3 linked regions of the Drosophila melanogaster genome follow. The protein of the gene in region 3 purifies or fractionates together with the protein of the main gene of each other region. This does not show direct contact. Each region holds a gene or a part of one and is shown on either strand. Other genes may lie near its edges.

Region 1 (3,739 bases), on a different chromosome or scaffold from region 3:
GATTCCAGCCTCTGCATGGAACCACTCGGCCACGAAGGCCAGACGCCGCTCGCTAGCCGGAATCGCAGCGGGTTTCATGGTATCGTTTTGAGGGGAATCTTATACCTTGCTTTTCCGTTCTATCGCTTGACAGCAAGTCCTTTATTTCGAGTGATAACTGTTTGTTTGCTTTGCATTTCAATTGTGCTTCTTCTTTCCCGCGTTGTCACAGCAACAGTGTTGCCAACATAACAAAATTCATTTAAGTGGGCGCAAAATTTAAAGAAAAAAATACCTATGTTAATTTTAAACCCAAATTCTAGGGGATTACCCATAAACAATTTTTAACCATTACCTATAATTTCTTTTTAAAATCGCTATCTATTCAAAGATAAAGCCTTCTTTGCGACATCTTTAAGAAGCTGGACTGCGCATTCCGAATTTAACAGTTTAGAGATTTCTAGAACATTTATAGAATGTTGTAAACTTATAAAATATTGAAAATAAAAAGCCGAATATAAGTTTTTCATTTTTTTTATTGTTAATTTCCTTTATTTACAGGAAACAAAAATAATAAACTGCAAACTGATTTTTGCAATAAATTGGTTGTAGCTTTCCTCTGGTTGTTAAATTCTAGCGTAAAACTTATGGTTTCCCTTGTCGGCGCCAAATCATCTTGTTCCTTGTGTTGCTTTTTGTTAACATCTCTCCTCTGAATACGCATAATATTCAGGTATATTAAATGTGGTTTTCTTCGATTGGAATAGTGTTTCATGTACGCATGCGTTTGTGGATGTTTTATGAGTGATTGAGTGTTTCTTCTTTTTCTTTTCTGGTGTGTATGTGAGGAGTGAGTGTTGTGATCGTGTGCTGACTTATGGTATAAGAGCCACGCCTAACGCTACGACTACGCCAAATTGCGAGACACCATCTGAGCGACCGTCTAGGCAGCTGGCTTCTTCTCCTTATCACCCTCGCCGCCCTCCTCGTCATCCTCGTCGTTCTGGGACAGACTTGGGATGTTGTCATCCGAGTCCTCCTCCTCGTCATCGACGTTGAAATCGTCGAACTTGTTGTTCCAATCGCCACCAGGGCTGTTAAGGAAATTTCCAAACATGCTGTTGTCTTTTTGGTCACCTGCAAAGTGCGTTTGTATGAGTGGGTTTGCTGGATGAGATCTTGGGGATGAGGATGTCAACTTACCCTCCTCGTCGTCGGACTCATCGCGCCACTTGGCAAAGTTGGCTTTTAGGAAATGCAACTTGGTCTTGTCCGTGGTCAGCGAGGACCAGTAGGGACCGGCCGCCTTCTTGGGTATTGTGAATTCCAGGCAGCGGCCAATGTTCTTGCTGGTCACCTTCTCGGGATCCACCTCGTGGAGGAAGTTCAGTGTGACCTCGTACTTCTTCGACGGATCCAGCACGTTTACGCCCTTGAAGGTGAAGGTTTTTTCCGTAACTCTGTTTTGGGATAAATATATGGAATTAGGATGTGCAAGGAGCATGGACATACTACATATGGGGGCATATACTTGTGTTCGATGTCCTTGCATTCGACATCGATGATGACGTAGATCAAGTCATTGCGCTGGGCCCAGGAAACTGGAGGCGGAATCAAGCTGCAATGGAGGATCAAGTTGGATAAACATAAATAAGAGCTTCATGTCGTTGTGCGAGATCCGTTGCCATGGCAACTCGCGTCGGACTTTCTGGAAGCGGGTGCACGAACTATGTAAATAGCTTCCCAGCTAGCTAGATTTGCATAAACCATAAGCCCAGGCAAAAGTCCATGCCGAAAATGCACGGCATTACCGCCAGCCGAAAACATAACCTCAAACACTGGACCCTCCGATTAGTTCCACAAATATCGCAATGCAGATGCGCACAGGACACGCCCACCGTGGACACAAACGCTTGGCCAGGCGGATGAGCGCGAGAATAAGGGTCATCCGAACGAAAATTATGTGTTTTTCACGGCCGGGAGTTCGAAAATGGACGCCGCCGCAACGACAAAGCACGCGACGCACAAAGAAGCCACAAAAAGATGGTCCGGCTATCGCCGATTGGCACTGAGATGGCCGGTTGTGGACTCACCCTGCTGCTGCCGACATTATGTTGTTGCTGTGAATTGTTGGTTTATGTTTTACGAAGTCGGAACACTTCTGACTGACAGCCTGACTTGGTTACAAAAAAAGGCAGTTTCTGTTGAACAAAATTGTCATGCACAAAATTGACATGAGAAACAGAGTTACCGAGCGCGCTGCGGAGATGTGACTAAATTTGAACGGTGCTCTGGGGTGCGAAACTTCGATAGTTGTACTCAAACCACAAATGTTAGCTTGTTACGTGTAACGTAAATTTGAAGTGTTGTGTCAAAACATTTTACATTGTCGGTAAAAAGTATTGAAATCAACTTTTATTTGGTTCAAGGAATTTATGATGATGATTATAAATCTATGATCTACCAAAGTCGGCACGTTTTGGCGCCAGGACGCATGCCGCTGCCCACGGAGCAGTTGTAGGCGTGGAAGAAGTCCTCGCTGTTGGACAAAACTCCCAGGACACGAAATTGGTCGAAGGTGTGCACATCGCTAAGACCTTTCCAGTAGTGCTCCTCCTCGTAATGGGAGCAAAATAGCTGGGCAAATCCCAGGAAGAACAACTGTTCCGGCGTGAGATCGAGACCCGGCATGGCGTCGCTTATCCTCTCCTGCCCAGGATGCTCCAGCAGTTGCTGCCTGTGACTGCGATAGGCCGTCAATGCTTGTCTTAATCCGCTATTGTCTGCGATATTCTCGTCCAGTGTAGTTTTTCCGTTGACACGCCTGCTGATCTCCGGTACCTGGTACTTGCCATAGTAGTCCATGTAGCACTCGGCGCGATCCTCTAATGCCTGTTGCGAAATTTCCGACAACAAGGACTCCATGTGACCATTGCCATCGAAATAGGAGCTGGTCGTATCGAAGCCGTGGATGAGTTCATGACCAACGATAAAACCCAATGTGCCGAATTTCAGGGAAATCGGCAGGTGGCGTTGGTATATCGGTGGTTCCACCACGCCAGCCATCACATTAATGGAGTTGTCCGGAGTGTAGTAGCCCGCTCCAACCTGCAATCCTGTCAGGATCTTCTGTGGCTTGGTGTCATTGGTCAGCTCCTGAAAATGCCGACTGCTAAATCGATTGATTTGTACAACTAGGTGCTGCAAATTAATGTTGGTCTCCGCATAGCGATCCTCGATGACTTTCAGACTGTTGATTTCCCGGATTATTCGATCCGAAAGTGCATCATCTTGGAACGAACCAATGCGTGGCTGTATTCTGGACTCCTTAAGCAGTGCCCTCGCCCTGCTCTCCGCATCCAGCCAATCGGCATCCTCCAGCGCCTTTCGCAGACTCTTTCGCAGTTCCCGCACCATTTCCGACATCTCCAGCCTCTTCGCCTCACTGAAGTTGTTCTGTAACACAAGAGTGTTGAGATTATTTGGTATTCTCATCATACGCATTCGTTACCCACAGCCATGTAGAGTTTGTTGAACAGAAACCGCATGGATTGATAAAGCGTAACCGAACAGTAGTTCCTTTGGTACCTGGGCGCCTTCAGTTTGGGATCGAATCTATAGAGCAGCTTCATGGCCAGGTAGTTGGCCACAGCCTTGCGATGTCGGGCGCATACTTTGTCCAGTTCAACGTAGTAAAAGTCGCAGAATAATTTGTTAGTGGAGTGGAGTCCACTCCACGAGATGTTATAGTAGTACTCCG
Region 2 (6,665 bases), on a different chromosome or scaffold from region 3:
CCGAAAACACAAATGATTTGTTTTTCTTAAATTACACCATTTTTCTGCTGGCAACTATAGCAATTTCCGAAAAAGTAACTTGCTTATTCATGCAGGTTTTCGCGACTCTGAAGACAAATGTGCGTTGGAATATAAAATGCGGTTATTATTATTTTCTGTTCTGAAGCGGCGATTGTTGGGCAACATGCTGCTAATGTCTGGCGCAACAAGAGGCTGGCCACTTGTTGCTGGTTGCGAATGTAAACAGAGAAGTGTGTTTCACAAATTCTCTCTTTTGTACACCTTGAAAAATATTTGGTGACCGTTCACAGGGCGGATGAGTAATACTCGCTCTGCTGGCCACAATTTATGACGTTTGCCCCTTGGCAATGTAAGCTGATAAGCATTATAAAGTGTGAAGTCAACTTATCTTTGGCTACGGAGAAATCTGTGCACACACTGCCACTATAATTTATGGGATACCCATATCATGGAAAAAGAATTCGCTCACTTAGGCATTTATTTTAAAATATGTATCCTTTATTCTTTATTGCTCTTCGGTTGCATTCAATCAGCTTTCGCATATATGGTATGTTGTACACAAAAAATACACAGAGATATATAGTTAGAATAATGTGGATTTAAGTAACTCCATGTTGCACAAACTTCAAATGCATAATAAAGCATCAGCTTTAGTTGCATTTAACAGTTCGTGTTGCACGATTTTAATCGGTTTCTTTTTAGTTTTGAGGCGACTTGTTCTTACAATAAACTATTCCATTCTTCAATTTGAAATACACAGCGAAATGCAAACAACTTTCTTAAAGTTAATTACTCAATTGTTAATCTGTTTGAAAATGTATGTTAAACATAGGCAATGGCATTAAGAACCAAACGACTGACTGTCTGACTGACTGGTTGGCTGACTGACTGACTGACTGGCCTAGTGACTTGACTTGGTTTTGACTTGACTCTCATTGAGGAGGACTTAGGCGAAAAATGCTCTTCATCTGCACACATTCCAATTGCAAATAGGGTATCAAAAATACTTATCATGGCTTTACATTACACTTTAGTTACAAAAATATTTAAAATTTAATACCGTTAACAAAAATACTTGACGATCAATTACACTTTTGGAAAAATTCGCTTACACTTTTGGAACAAAACTAAACTCATTTACAAGGCATGTTTGAGGGAAAACAAAAAGCGTATGATGTATGTTGTAAGTTGTGTGTCGTGTGTGTTTGTTGTGTGCTGTTCGGTGTGCCAATTAGGCCCAGTCCTTTTTGATCTCAAAGGTCCAGTCCCACTCCAGGTGTATGTGCTTGTCGTCATCCGTGAAGACCGAACTGACCGAGTAGGTGCCGCGGGAGAATGTGCCTGAAGGTGCCTCCTCGGCGGGCGTCAAATAGAACTGAATCTCCTTCTTCGGCGGATAGGAGCCAACCATATGCTTCATCTTGTCAACTATGGAGTAATGCGAAAACAGTCAGTTTAGTAAGGATACACATTTGCGGATGGGCTGCACCAGCTTACCCACAACTTAAAAAATTATACATTCCGAAATTAGGGTTTGGCATTGGAGATAATGGAATACAAGTTATTCTCAACACATGACTAAAGTTAGTATGGCAATTGTGAAAAAAAGGATATAGGCAGCACTGCAAAATCCCACCAGTATGGTTGTGCCATTGAACCAGCTTTTACCCATTGCTAGAAACAAAACTCGACTAGCCCGCACAAAAGTCAATCAAAAACTGAGGTGTAATACTAACGATTTCGCGTCAGCACGGAAAATTGAAGACCTAGAAGTGCTCGCATAGTGTAACGTATGGAAAATAACTAAAAACAAGTATCTTTTGACCCGGTTTTAATTTAATTTTATTCTTACAATACTAGGGCACTAGGTCAGTAAATAAATAAATCAATTAATAGAAAATTAGGGTAGGACAAAAAAGAAATATAATTGCTTTGCCCTAAGTAAAGACATATAATGTTGATAGAATTGAGAGTGTAAATCTATTCTATATTCTGCCAATTAAAAATACAAATGTCATGTTTAAATACTCACCATTAACACCCAAGCGAGAAGTCTTTTGAACATACTTAAGGCCATGGACTATTTCACGCTGCACAATAAAATCAATGCGCACCTTGTACTGAACACCTTCTTTGATCACAAAAAGCTGTCGCAATAGGGTTTTGATTAACAAAAGTAGTCGAATGGATGATGATGGTTAATGATATTTACCTGCTTTTTCAGCTGACTAAGGTCACCGGTAAGATCCAATTCCATGTCGTCGCGTCCTTCGACAACGAGGGCCAGTTTCTTTACAATAACTTTTCGGGGATCATTGGGTTCTGGGTAAAAATGTTATTGCTTTAGTATATTCTGCACCCTCCACTTTCAGAGGCCAAGTTAACCGCCCCTTACCAACAATAATTTTCTCGGTCTGGGCGGCACCCAGGAGCGCCTCCTTGTAGCGCCGCAAGCTCTCATCCTCCTGATCGGCGGCCATTATTTCCTCGATGGTCTTCTCCGGCGGCGCCTGGTAGTTGGCATCGTGGACATCGTCGTCGTGGTGCTCGGGATGGTGCTTCGTCTCTGTTTCGGCCATGATTGCTAACCTAGAACTGTCCAAAGGCAATTGTTTGTTTATCAATCAATTACATTTAAATATTGCTTCGGATTTTGCTTAGTATGCGTCGGTTTCTCTGGGTGAAGCTTGTGGGTCATAGGCATATTTTTAGTAGTGTGAGTAACATTTTGACGATAATGATGTTGTTTTATACACATATGTATATGCCTCCATTTTAATGGCATGTGCGCCACCATATCTGCTACATCGTATCGGAGTGTATGAAAGTATTCCTCATTCAAAAAATGTAGGAAGAGTGTTTTTTCTTCTGAAAATTGTCGCCCTAAGGAGAGTTGAGCTCATAACTTAACAATGCAGGGAAGAAATTCGAAAAAAAAACCTGCCATCTAAATATATAGTTGAGTAGTTAGTACATTTGTTTCTACAAATTACAATGTTAAATATTGAAATTCAAATAACAACGATCGCAAACATATTCCATATACTTCGCTACTGATTACGTTATCATTCGCTGGCCATAAAGCGGGTTTATTTACTTTTTTGGCAACACGAGTGCCTCCGTTGCGAACAAATGTAGCCACTTCATAAGCCCGTTCAATAATATTGATTAAATTTCAATTATTAACGCATTGATGAACTGACGTGTTCTCTGTCTAGGGGGCGGGGCAGAGAGGGGCGCTCGACCTGCAGCTGGTCCGCTCGCAAAGTAAAAAAAAAGGTTCAACCAAATACGGAGCGGCAGTTAGATAAGGCAGGCGAACTCGACGGAGGGAGAGAGAGCGGATATCGGCATTGAATAATATTGACCAGAACTGGGAACTGGCGACAAAAAGCCAAACCCACCGCCCCCCGGAAAATGGCTTTATTGTTATCTTGCTTTGTTTTCCACTATCTAAATACACGTCGCCAGCTCTCTGTCCATTTTCAACGAATGTTGTTGGGCCAATAATAATTCTCGATTCTCCAGATTTGGCTTTATATATATGTACATACATATGCAGTGTACCCGGGCAAAAAAAATACATGAAATTGAATTGTTATTACTTGACATCGAGTTGTTGTTGAGGTAATAAAATTGTGTCTATACAAAACGATTTTGCAGGCCCATGTGTACATACAGTAGTAATAATGATGTATTTCTCAATTTTATACAAAACATATTTTGAAATTCTCAAAGCTAATAAATATTTATCTATCTATCTATCTGTTTTTTACTTGTAAATGTAAATATTATTGGTGCTTAAAAATCAATAGTTTGAATCTTAGTATCGGTTTTTAGATCTCATCGTAATATTTCCAAATTAGGCATATGAAAAGCACTCACAATTTCTCTCCGTGCTTGTGTGGGAATGGCAAAAAATAATAAACAAAAAATTTTCGGACTAACAACGCAAGTTTGGGCCAATAAATACAATCGCAACAATTAAGGATGGGTGAGAAAAGGTAATTTCAAGAACAATCTGACCGAACTGAAAATTTGAATTCCAAACAAATGTGCCAGCGTCGAAGGAAGTGCAAGCGAGAGGGCTTGCCAGAGAGAGAGAGAGAGAGAGAGAGAGAGAGGACCCCCCGCCAAAGACAAAGTGTGGGGATAATTCAGGGAAAAGTACGAACCATGCCACTTTTTTTTCTTCTCTTTTTTTGATAAAGAAATGTGCACGAAGAATGTTAAAACCCCAGACGAATGAATCACACACACCAGCTCACACACACACACACTCACACTGAGGCCGGCACATGAATCGTCACTGATTTTCAAGTAGAATTTTTGGGAGTGGTTCTTGGCCTGCAGTCACCCAACTACATACATTTGCTATCAATGCCAGCTTGTATTAAATTAATATAATAATATTATAAATATTTTTTTTATGTAAAATGCATTGGAAGGCACCGCACTCACACACACACACAGTTGCAAGTTGGCAACGACGCGCACTCACCTTTTAATATGCGAAATTAATCAAATAGTACGATCTCTGAAAATTAATCACTGAAAAGTAACTGTATGTTATATTTTTAACAACTTTTGATAACTAACTTTTAAACAAAGCAAATAATATAAAATAAGAATTACAAGTGTGAACGTATGCTTTGGTGGACAGAATACCAAAACGCGAGATGGACTTGAAGAAGTCATCCGTTCACACTGCTGTCCAAAAATACTTGCTTTTCGAAAAAGTTTTTAGTTTTGAAACAGCTTCCCCTAAATCTATTTTATACTTTGTAAGTATGGGTTTAAAAAGAAATTATTAATTAGTTTAACGAATCTTGCTGAAATGCAATTTCTAATAAGAATCGCTGTTTGGTCATTGTCTGCAACAGTCTGGCAACGCCGACAAACAGCTGCTTGTTACTTCATCGGCGATTTCGGTGTGCAAGTTGAAAAACACAATTTACTCCGTTAATTTACAATGACATCCCAGTACCTGAGCCAGCTAATAACGGCCGACAAATTGTCCGCCGAGCCCTGGCCCGAAGACGCCACCCTCTACCAGGTAAGGTCCTGGTTTATAGGTCCAGAATCTTCACTAACATTAACCTTTCATTAATGTGCATTAAAAAAAACAGCCGTATGAAGCGGAACAGATCCTACTGCCGGAAAACGCCAGTTGCCTTGCTGTGAAGGCTTACCTGAAGATGTGCAACCTCCCCTTTTTGATTCGGTCCTGTGCCAACGCGGAGCACATGTCGCCGGGCGGCAGGATGACCAAGTTGCCCTTCATCCGCGCAGGAGCATTCATCTTTGCCGAATTCGAGCCGATCGTGAACTTTGTGGAGCAGAAGGAACTGGCCATTGGCAGCTGGCAGGACGAGGACGAGAAGGCCGACATGCGCACCTATGTGTCGCTGGTGGAGAACATCTTCACCATGGCTGAGCTGTACATTAGCTTCAAGAACGAACGCGTCTACAAAGAGGTCACAGCGCCCAGGAACGGAGTCGTTTTTCCCTGGCCCCTCAATCACATGCAGAACTATGGAAAGCGGCGGAACGCGCTGCGTCTGTTGAAGGTCTATCAGTGGGACGACCTGGACATCGATAGCGTCATTGACAAGGTGGCCAAGTGCTGTGAGACGCTCGAATACAAGCTGAAAGAGTCGCCGGAAACGCCATTCTTCTACGGCGATCAGCCCTGCGAACTGGACGCCATCGCCTTCGGCCACCTCTTCAGCATTCTGACCACCACGCTGCCGAACATGGCGCTGGCCCAAACGGTGCAGAAGTTCCAGCACTTGGTCGAGTTCTGTCGCTTCGTCGATGAGAAGTACTTTCAGACGAGGTGCCTACCAAATTAGTTATACGTAGTCGTTGCCTTAAATGCTTATCAATTAAGTTGCTCTTGTCCTTTCTTTTTAACCGCTTATATATGCAATTCTAAATGCCCTTAAAACAAATCGTCGCCGTAAGTCACAATTATTTTGCTACTAGCATTTAAAAAAAAAAGTTGTTCTAGTGATTTTGCTGCCATTAATGTCCAAAAATCCATGTGAATATCATTTGCACAAGTGACTCAATCTGCAAGTTTGTTTAAATGGAATTCTAAAATACTTCTAACGATCTTTACTTCATTTATTTTGCAGCAAATAACTTTTCTGCTAATAAAATTGTGTAAGTATTTGCTATAATACATCAAATAAATTGTTTTCTTAGCAAACCAAAAAAAAAAATAGTCTTGATTTTTGAACATTGCTGCCTTTTCCTTTTCATACTTTTGAAGAAATTGAACTCTCGTTTATGTAAAGACCTTAAATACACATATAGTTTTATTGATTTATTGTTATAATTAATTTAGATTATTATTATGAATGCAATGTACACATCTTTGCATGCAGATGGCCGAACCAATCGCGCCACTTGTGATATTTGCTAACGCAATCATACAAAACAATCAGATGATTCTCGAAAATAAAAGCTTAACAATTTGTCCAGGTTTAGCAGTTGGTCCATTAGCAGTTGGCCCAGTAGAAGTCTTAGTTTCCAGCCTGATTCACTGCCGGTCCGGATAGTTCGTCGTTGCCTGCCGCCGGAGCAGCGCCAGCTTGCGGTGGTACTGGTGGTGCAAACACATGGGCCATCTGCGGCGG
Region 3 (5,771 bases):
GGATTTGTGGACAACCTGCGACAGGTGCTCGTCTCCGTTTTGGACACCCGGGCCAATAGGAATCCCCGCGAGAAGAGCATCACGCCGCTGCTGATGAGGAAGGCCAGCCAAATAAGCACGAACAAGTACGTCAAGTTCATCTTTCGGCTGCGATTAATTAACTAACTAGGCACACAAATGCTTAATGAGTAATAAACTTTTTAGCATTTAGAACAATGCTGGTGTAGGCGAATACTTTATGCGGCTGGCCAGCCGCTTTCAGTTGTATAAAACTATGTAATTTAATTGCACTTTACTTCGGAGTGGTTGATTAGGTTTCCGGCATCACGATGCGTTCTGTTTGCTCGCTGTTTTCATTTAAAATTCCTCATATCTAAAGATTTTCTTGTGGCCTGAAGAAAAAATTGAGAAGTATGCAAGAACCCTCTATGGCGTTGCCACCTCGTCAAAGCAAACAGCTGTTTTACGTTGATCCCTGGGTTAAATCAGAGTTGTCAACTTTATTATAATTTTTGGCGGGATATTTAAAGCTGACAGATGAAATTGGAAATTAACTTTTTTTAATTCATTAGCTGTAGTTTAAGTTTGAAAAGGTAATCACACATATACTCCCAAACATCATTTATCAAAAAGACATCGCTATTTTTATGGGGCAAAAATTTTTGCATTTATTCAAAGATTTCATACACATATAGCAAATTTGATCAGCATTAGCAACAAATTGGGTGCGATTTCGTCTCTTTCTCAATCTTCAGCAGTACGGACTACATCCACTTAAGTTTACCAATGGATTTTCGTTATTTGCACGCAAGCTCTGATCGTAACACAAATATTTAGTACTAAATAAATTTGGAATTGGCTTTTCAACGGATTAGGGAACGCCATCTAACCACGGAACTCAACGCCTAGAGAAGAAATAAAAGCGTAAAACAAATGTATATTCACTTTAACCGCAATGCATGATTTTCTAATGTTTTTACTAAGTATTAGAAACATTTGGGAATGACATCGGGTGGACCATCCAATGTGGTTTAGTCTTTAAACGTACACTTAGATTGATAGTTATATAAACGAATGCAGCAAGCCCTTGGATCTTCGATCCTCCGTGGCTTTAAATTTAAACAAGTCATGCAATTTGATGGTGTCTCCAAGGCAAATACAAATAGATGCATATAATATGTGCTCCCATTGGCAAATTTTTGACGCGCAGATTTTAGTTATATTAAGTATTATATAAACCGTATCGACACAGGTGTACATATGATTTCTGGTTAAATTAATTCTGATCCTGTTGTTAGTGCGCAGACACGACAATTCGCTTTAGTTAAATAAGTTAATAGAGTGGGTGCGTGGGTCTGTTTGTATGTAGTATAGGTTGCTCCACATTATCGACGCGCTTGGCCTTGCAGTTGCCCCGAAATCTATTTCGGGAGTGAGTCTGTGGGTGAATTCAGACCCGAGGATGTGTTATTCTCGTCCAGGGCATCTGGGAAACTGGACACCGAACCCGAGCGGGATGTCACCTTGGTCTACAATAGAACAGAAAACCGAACAGATTGTAGTAGAGGTGCAGTAGCATTTGCGCAAGGAGTAGTTCGTTGTGTAAGCAAGCAAATCAACCGAAGTATCCCAATTCAGAGTGCGTTTATAGTGGGTGAGCAAGTGTGAAAGATGTGTGGTTAGTGTTAGTTAGTTGGTTAGTTAGTGGCTAGTTAGTTAGACGGGAACCAAAACAGAATCGCAACAGTATGAGAGATGTGTAAAGACAGATATATAATAAAATAGTAGTTACCGCATGAGATTGGCACATAAAATTGTTGTGTTCATAGCTTACTTTAACGTTCTCGTAGGCAGAGCCCACCGAAGCCTCGATAGAACGCATCGATTCGGAGTTTTTCATTTGCGACAGTTTCGACGAAATGCCACTGGTGATGCTGCCAAACACCGAGGCGGTCTTCTCGCCCGTGGACTTTAGCACCGACTCAGTGCGTTGGTATCTAGGGGAGAGTACAAATAAATCCAACATTAGTTACTCATCTCGATAGTTTTCCTCCATACACAAAGTGGGCAAACATAGGTGCGCTTTAGTTACAAACAGGCGAGAGTTGGTTATTGTGTTAAAGGAAGTGGCGTGAAACACGGCGTTAGTCCGGTAACTCCAAAAGTACCCAATTAAAAATCAGCCTGAACCCAATTACTTACAGTGGTGCCTCGTACACCGTTTTAGTAAACGTGCCCACGCTCTGCTCCACCGATTGGTAACTAAATAAATACACGTTATAGCGTTTCAACAGGAGTTTGAAACAAAAAGCATGGTTAGAAATTAAAACTGTCTAGTCGGGTTAATTGCCCAGCAGAACTGCGAACGGTTCATAGACTTACACAGTGCTCTCCTTGAGGTTCTTAAGGCCCTGGTTCACGTCGTCCGTCACCTCCTTCCAGACGGTGATGCCCAGCTTGCGCTTGAGATCGGAGGCATGGCGCGTCTTGGAGGCTAGGACAGTTCGCAGCGTATTGATCTCTTCCTCAACGCGGGCGAGCTCCTGGAAATTGAAGTAGAAGTTAGCGTTCGAGCTGAGTAATCAAATTATGATCGTAAAACTGAAAACTTCCTTACCTGACTCCACTCAGCCCGACGCTGCTCCTTCTCCTCGACGGAAAGCGCAGCGAACTCGGCGGCAATTTCTGCGGATGCCACAGAATTAGCTGGAGATGCTGGCTCCGACAGGTTGGCTGTATTATCTGAACATGAAATAAAAAGCCATTAAATATATGCCAATCCAAGGGAACATTAAAACTTGGGGTGCTGTGTGGGGACTGTAGCTTAATTTCAATGTTGTCGGCGGGTAGTGTTTAAGTACCTCCTTTGAAAGCAACTTCCTCAAAGACTTTGTCATAGGCTGAATACACCGAATTTAGTTGTATATACGAGTATGTACAATTTGCAAAGACATGAGTTGGTTAATTGGTTAGATCTGGGTTTTTGTTAATACTCACAAACTGACGAGGCGAAAGGCAGGCAAAGGAGAAAGAAACAGAGAAGTTAGTCTGGTTAGTCATGGTTGAAAGTGGAAAAGCGAATGCCACAGAACAAAGACCCGACCTAAGCCCACCAACCCCCCTCCCCACTGACCGAATTTGGTACCTCTACTTCTATGCCCAATGTTGAGGAATCTCTTGTAGTTATCACTGTTTGATATTTTGGCCAGATACGGTTTGGAGAAGTCTATGAACGTGACCTTAACGTCGCGCATGGTTCGCTTGGCAAAGAACTTCAAGCGGAAGCGTTTGGCCATCGAAGACGATGGCGCTTGATTGGCCAACTTGGCGGCAATGAAGTCCGCCTCCACTGCCTGCAATTCCAGGCTGTTGGTGTAGTCCGAATCCACATCGTAGAATATCTGGTCTAGCGTCAGATTACGCAAATATAGCTCAGCCTCGCTCTCCTCCTGCCCATCGCCATACCAGTCCAAGACGGCATCATTGGTTTCCAGATCCAGTGACGGTGTGCTGGTGAGATCATCAATGCTTGGCAGATAGGGGTCTTCAATGAACTCCAGGCTATTCGGTTCCGATTCGCTCATTCTGTGGCAATAGCGGCGCTCTCTTTCATCTTTGGCAGCAACTTTCTATTTTGAACGTGGCAGCTGCTGGCGCAGGAGGCTCATATTGTCTTGGCCCAATCCTAAGCACATATCACGTTTCCACGGTCAGCAGCGAGCACATTTTTCTTGGCCCTGCTTTCAGCCACTTCGATCGTTCTTTGCTGAGCTTTCAGTTCTTGGCCCGCCGCGTTCCACATAAATTCCTCTCCCCATGCGATCGCAGCTGGTTTGTGGTGGTTCTTCTGTTTCTGTTTCGATTTCAGTTTCGTTTTCGCTTTCGATTCTGGGCCTGCTCCATCCACGCTCGTCTACAGCCAAATGCCAACTGACTCGATCTCGGCTTAGAAATTGGTAGATGTGGATTGGTTGGCCGCTTGGCTCCGCTTGTTGATGATTCGTGTCAGCACGAAGACGAGAAATGCCACAAGAAGAGCGCTAAACAAAAGGGGCAGCAACAGGCAGCAGCAGCAGTAGCAACCAGCAAGACTACAGTAGAGCTTGACTAAAAGTTACAGCTACGTAAATACATTAGCTCTATAGTAACCAACTTTACACTTCATTTAATTTATAAATTAATAAGCATGGGAAAGTTATAAAGCTAATAATATTTGCATAAATAATAAGTACGCTTTGATAAGACACTAGATATACATATATGTGTCTAATTTAATTGCAGCTAAAATGATTATTTTATCAGTCAAAAAGCTTTGATAAACCGAGACTTCAATTTATTAATTGAATAATATTCTTCTTTAATTGTACCTTTTAAATTTATTAAGTAAACAATTGTGAGGAGATGAACAACTTTAAAAATTGAAAAACCCTATGATAAGGAACTTTAAATATAACTATAAATAAAGTTTTTCTTTGCAAAAACGTACTGTACATAACTGTATCGCTTTGTTGGAGCCAAACAAAAAAAGGAAAATAATTCATAATTTAGCTTCTTGCTAAATAGCAATTACCAGTTTGGATTTTTCCGATTTTTCCCAGCTTCCTCCGACCATCAAGCACTGTATGAGCACAAAGCCACTGTGCCACATTGATGGACCCTATATCTACACTATATATATATATATATATATATGTGAGCTAGTTCTGGTTTGCTGCGAGTTCTTGCTGCTCAGAAGTGCCTGTTGTTGTGGCAGGCCCAATCCCATCGAGAAGTCAACAAGTGGAAGCCAATTACTAAGTGGTTTCGGTGGGGGAACAGAGCTCCGAACAATTATAGTGGCACCATGGTGATAAGCTCAGTGGGAGGAGGCGTTTTCAGATGATATGCATATCATAGCCGCCCTGCGGATGTTGCGCTTCTAAAAGCCACGTATGCATGGACGTCGGAAACCGAGAATGCAATACTTACACCACAAAGAACCTGACCCCCGCCCACCAAACGGATTGCCATCGATGGCATGTCGCAGAACTTCCACGGTAATCCGAATAGTTGGAAAGCCTTTCACCCTACGCAAATCGGAACCATGACTCATCTGCTGATTCCCAGCGCACCAAGGTTAACTCATTGTGTATTCTAAGTCCCCCAAAACTTTTGGCAAAGCCGCTGCTGAATCAGAGTCCTACAATAGTAATGATACCCGAATTACCCGAAAGGTCTTAGGTGTCCCAATCGCCCAGGTCACAAGAGCCCACGGAAACATGTGCCGCTGCATTGGAATTGCAATGATGCACTGCGTCCGTATGCCACACACTTACGGTCCTCCATTACGGCGTTGTCTCCGGAAGTCTGCGGCAATTTTGTTAACTATTTCGATGCCAACTGCACGCACTTGTCGCAAAACTTTCAAGTTGAAAATAATTTTTTGTTTCGCTTGCTTAGCTATCGATGGTTGCTAAAATAAATCGAAGGAATGTCACTATCGATAGCAGCTTTCGGTCAAAAATTCCATCTCTCGTGCACATAACTACACACAAAAAATTCACAAAATCGCTTAAGTAAATACGTAATGCGTAATAAACGTTCAAACAACAGAAATGGGTCAAATTTTACTCACTAAAAGCTCCAATCTTCGTTATCGATTGTAATTAAACTTGTTGCAGCTCGGTGAGAAACTAAGTTAGTTATCGACGCTGTGACACCACTACCTAGAGCTGCCAGATCGCGCCTTTATTCAAACAGAAAAGTTTCGGTTTAAAACTTTTGTATTTCAA

Evidence for each region. The genes of interacting proteins can lie anywhere in the genome.
Region 1: the proteins of CG5174 (region 3) and p23 purify together in Drosophila melanogaster (affinity purification with mass spectrometry, with the first as the bait; one large-scale study listed by BioGRID). This does not show direct contact.
Region 2: the proteins of CG5174 (region 3) and RhoGDI purify together in Drosophila melanogaster (affinity purification with mass spectrometry, with the first as the bait; one large-scale study listed by BioGRID). This does not show direct contact.

Annotation. Positions count from the first base shown.
Region 1 is NT_033777.3:9,676,420-9,680,158, reverse strand, and holds p23 (p23), read right to left. Parts: upstream 2,233-3,739; 5' UTR 2,090-2,232; coding exon 2,073-2,089; intron 1,598-2,072; coding exon 1,511-1,597; intron 1,440-1,510; coding exon 1,183-1,439; intron 1,117-1,182; coding exon 923-1,116; 3' UTR 501-922; downstream 1-500. Other genes in the region: nmdyn-D7, read right to left, coding at 1-78; Nepl12 (Neprilysin-like 12), read right to left, coding at 2,440-3,435, 3,495-3,739. UniProt on the Drosophila melanogaster protein: Cytosolic prostaglandin synthase that catalyzes the oxidoreduction of prostaglandin endoperoxide H2 (PGH2) to prostaglandin E2 (PGE2).
Region 2 is NT_037436.4:19,926,766-19,933,430, reverse strand, and holds RhoGDI (RhoGDI), read right to left. Parts: upstream 4,689-6,665; 5' UTR 4,523-4,688; intron 2,617-4,522; 5' UTR 2,601-2,616; coding exon 2,417-2,600; intron 2,344-2,416; coding exon 2,234-2,343; intron 2,169-2,233; coding exon 2,054-2,168; intron 1,741-2,053; exon of another isoform or gene 1,694-1,740; coding exon of another isoform or gene 1,589-1,693; exon of another isoform or gene 1,519-1,588; intron 1,450-1,518; coding exon 1,253-1,449; 3' UTR 501-1,252; downstream 1-500. Other genes in the region: CG46462 (uncharacterized protein), read right to left, coding at 1,589-1,693; CG8004 (uncharacterized protein), read left to right, coding at 4,994-5,077, 5,151-5,876; Grasp65, read right to left, coding at 6,552-6,665.
Region 3 is NT_033778.4:18,421,098-18,426,868, reverse strand, and holds CG5174 (uncharacterized protein), read right to left. Parts: upstream 3,938-5,771; 5' UTR 3,585-3,937; coding exon 3,134-3,584; intron 3,001-3,133; coding exon of another isoform or gene 2,998-3,000; intron 2,901-2,997; coding exon of another isoform or gene 2,862-2,900; intron 2,743-2,861; coding exon 2,618-2,742; intron 2,544-2,617; coding exon 2,383-2,543; intron 2,263-2,382; coding exon 2,203-2,262; intron 1,998-2,202; coding exon 1,793-1,997; intron 1,530-1,792; coding exon 1,422-1,529; 3' UTR 906-1,421; coding exon of another isoform or gene 864-905; 3' UTR 648-863; downstream 1-647. Other genes in the region: PIG-O (phosphatidylinositol glycan anchor biosynthesis class O), read right to left, coding at 1-140.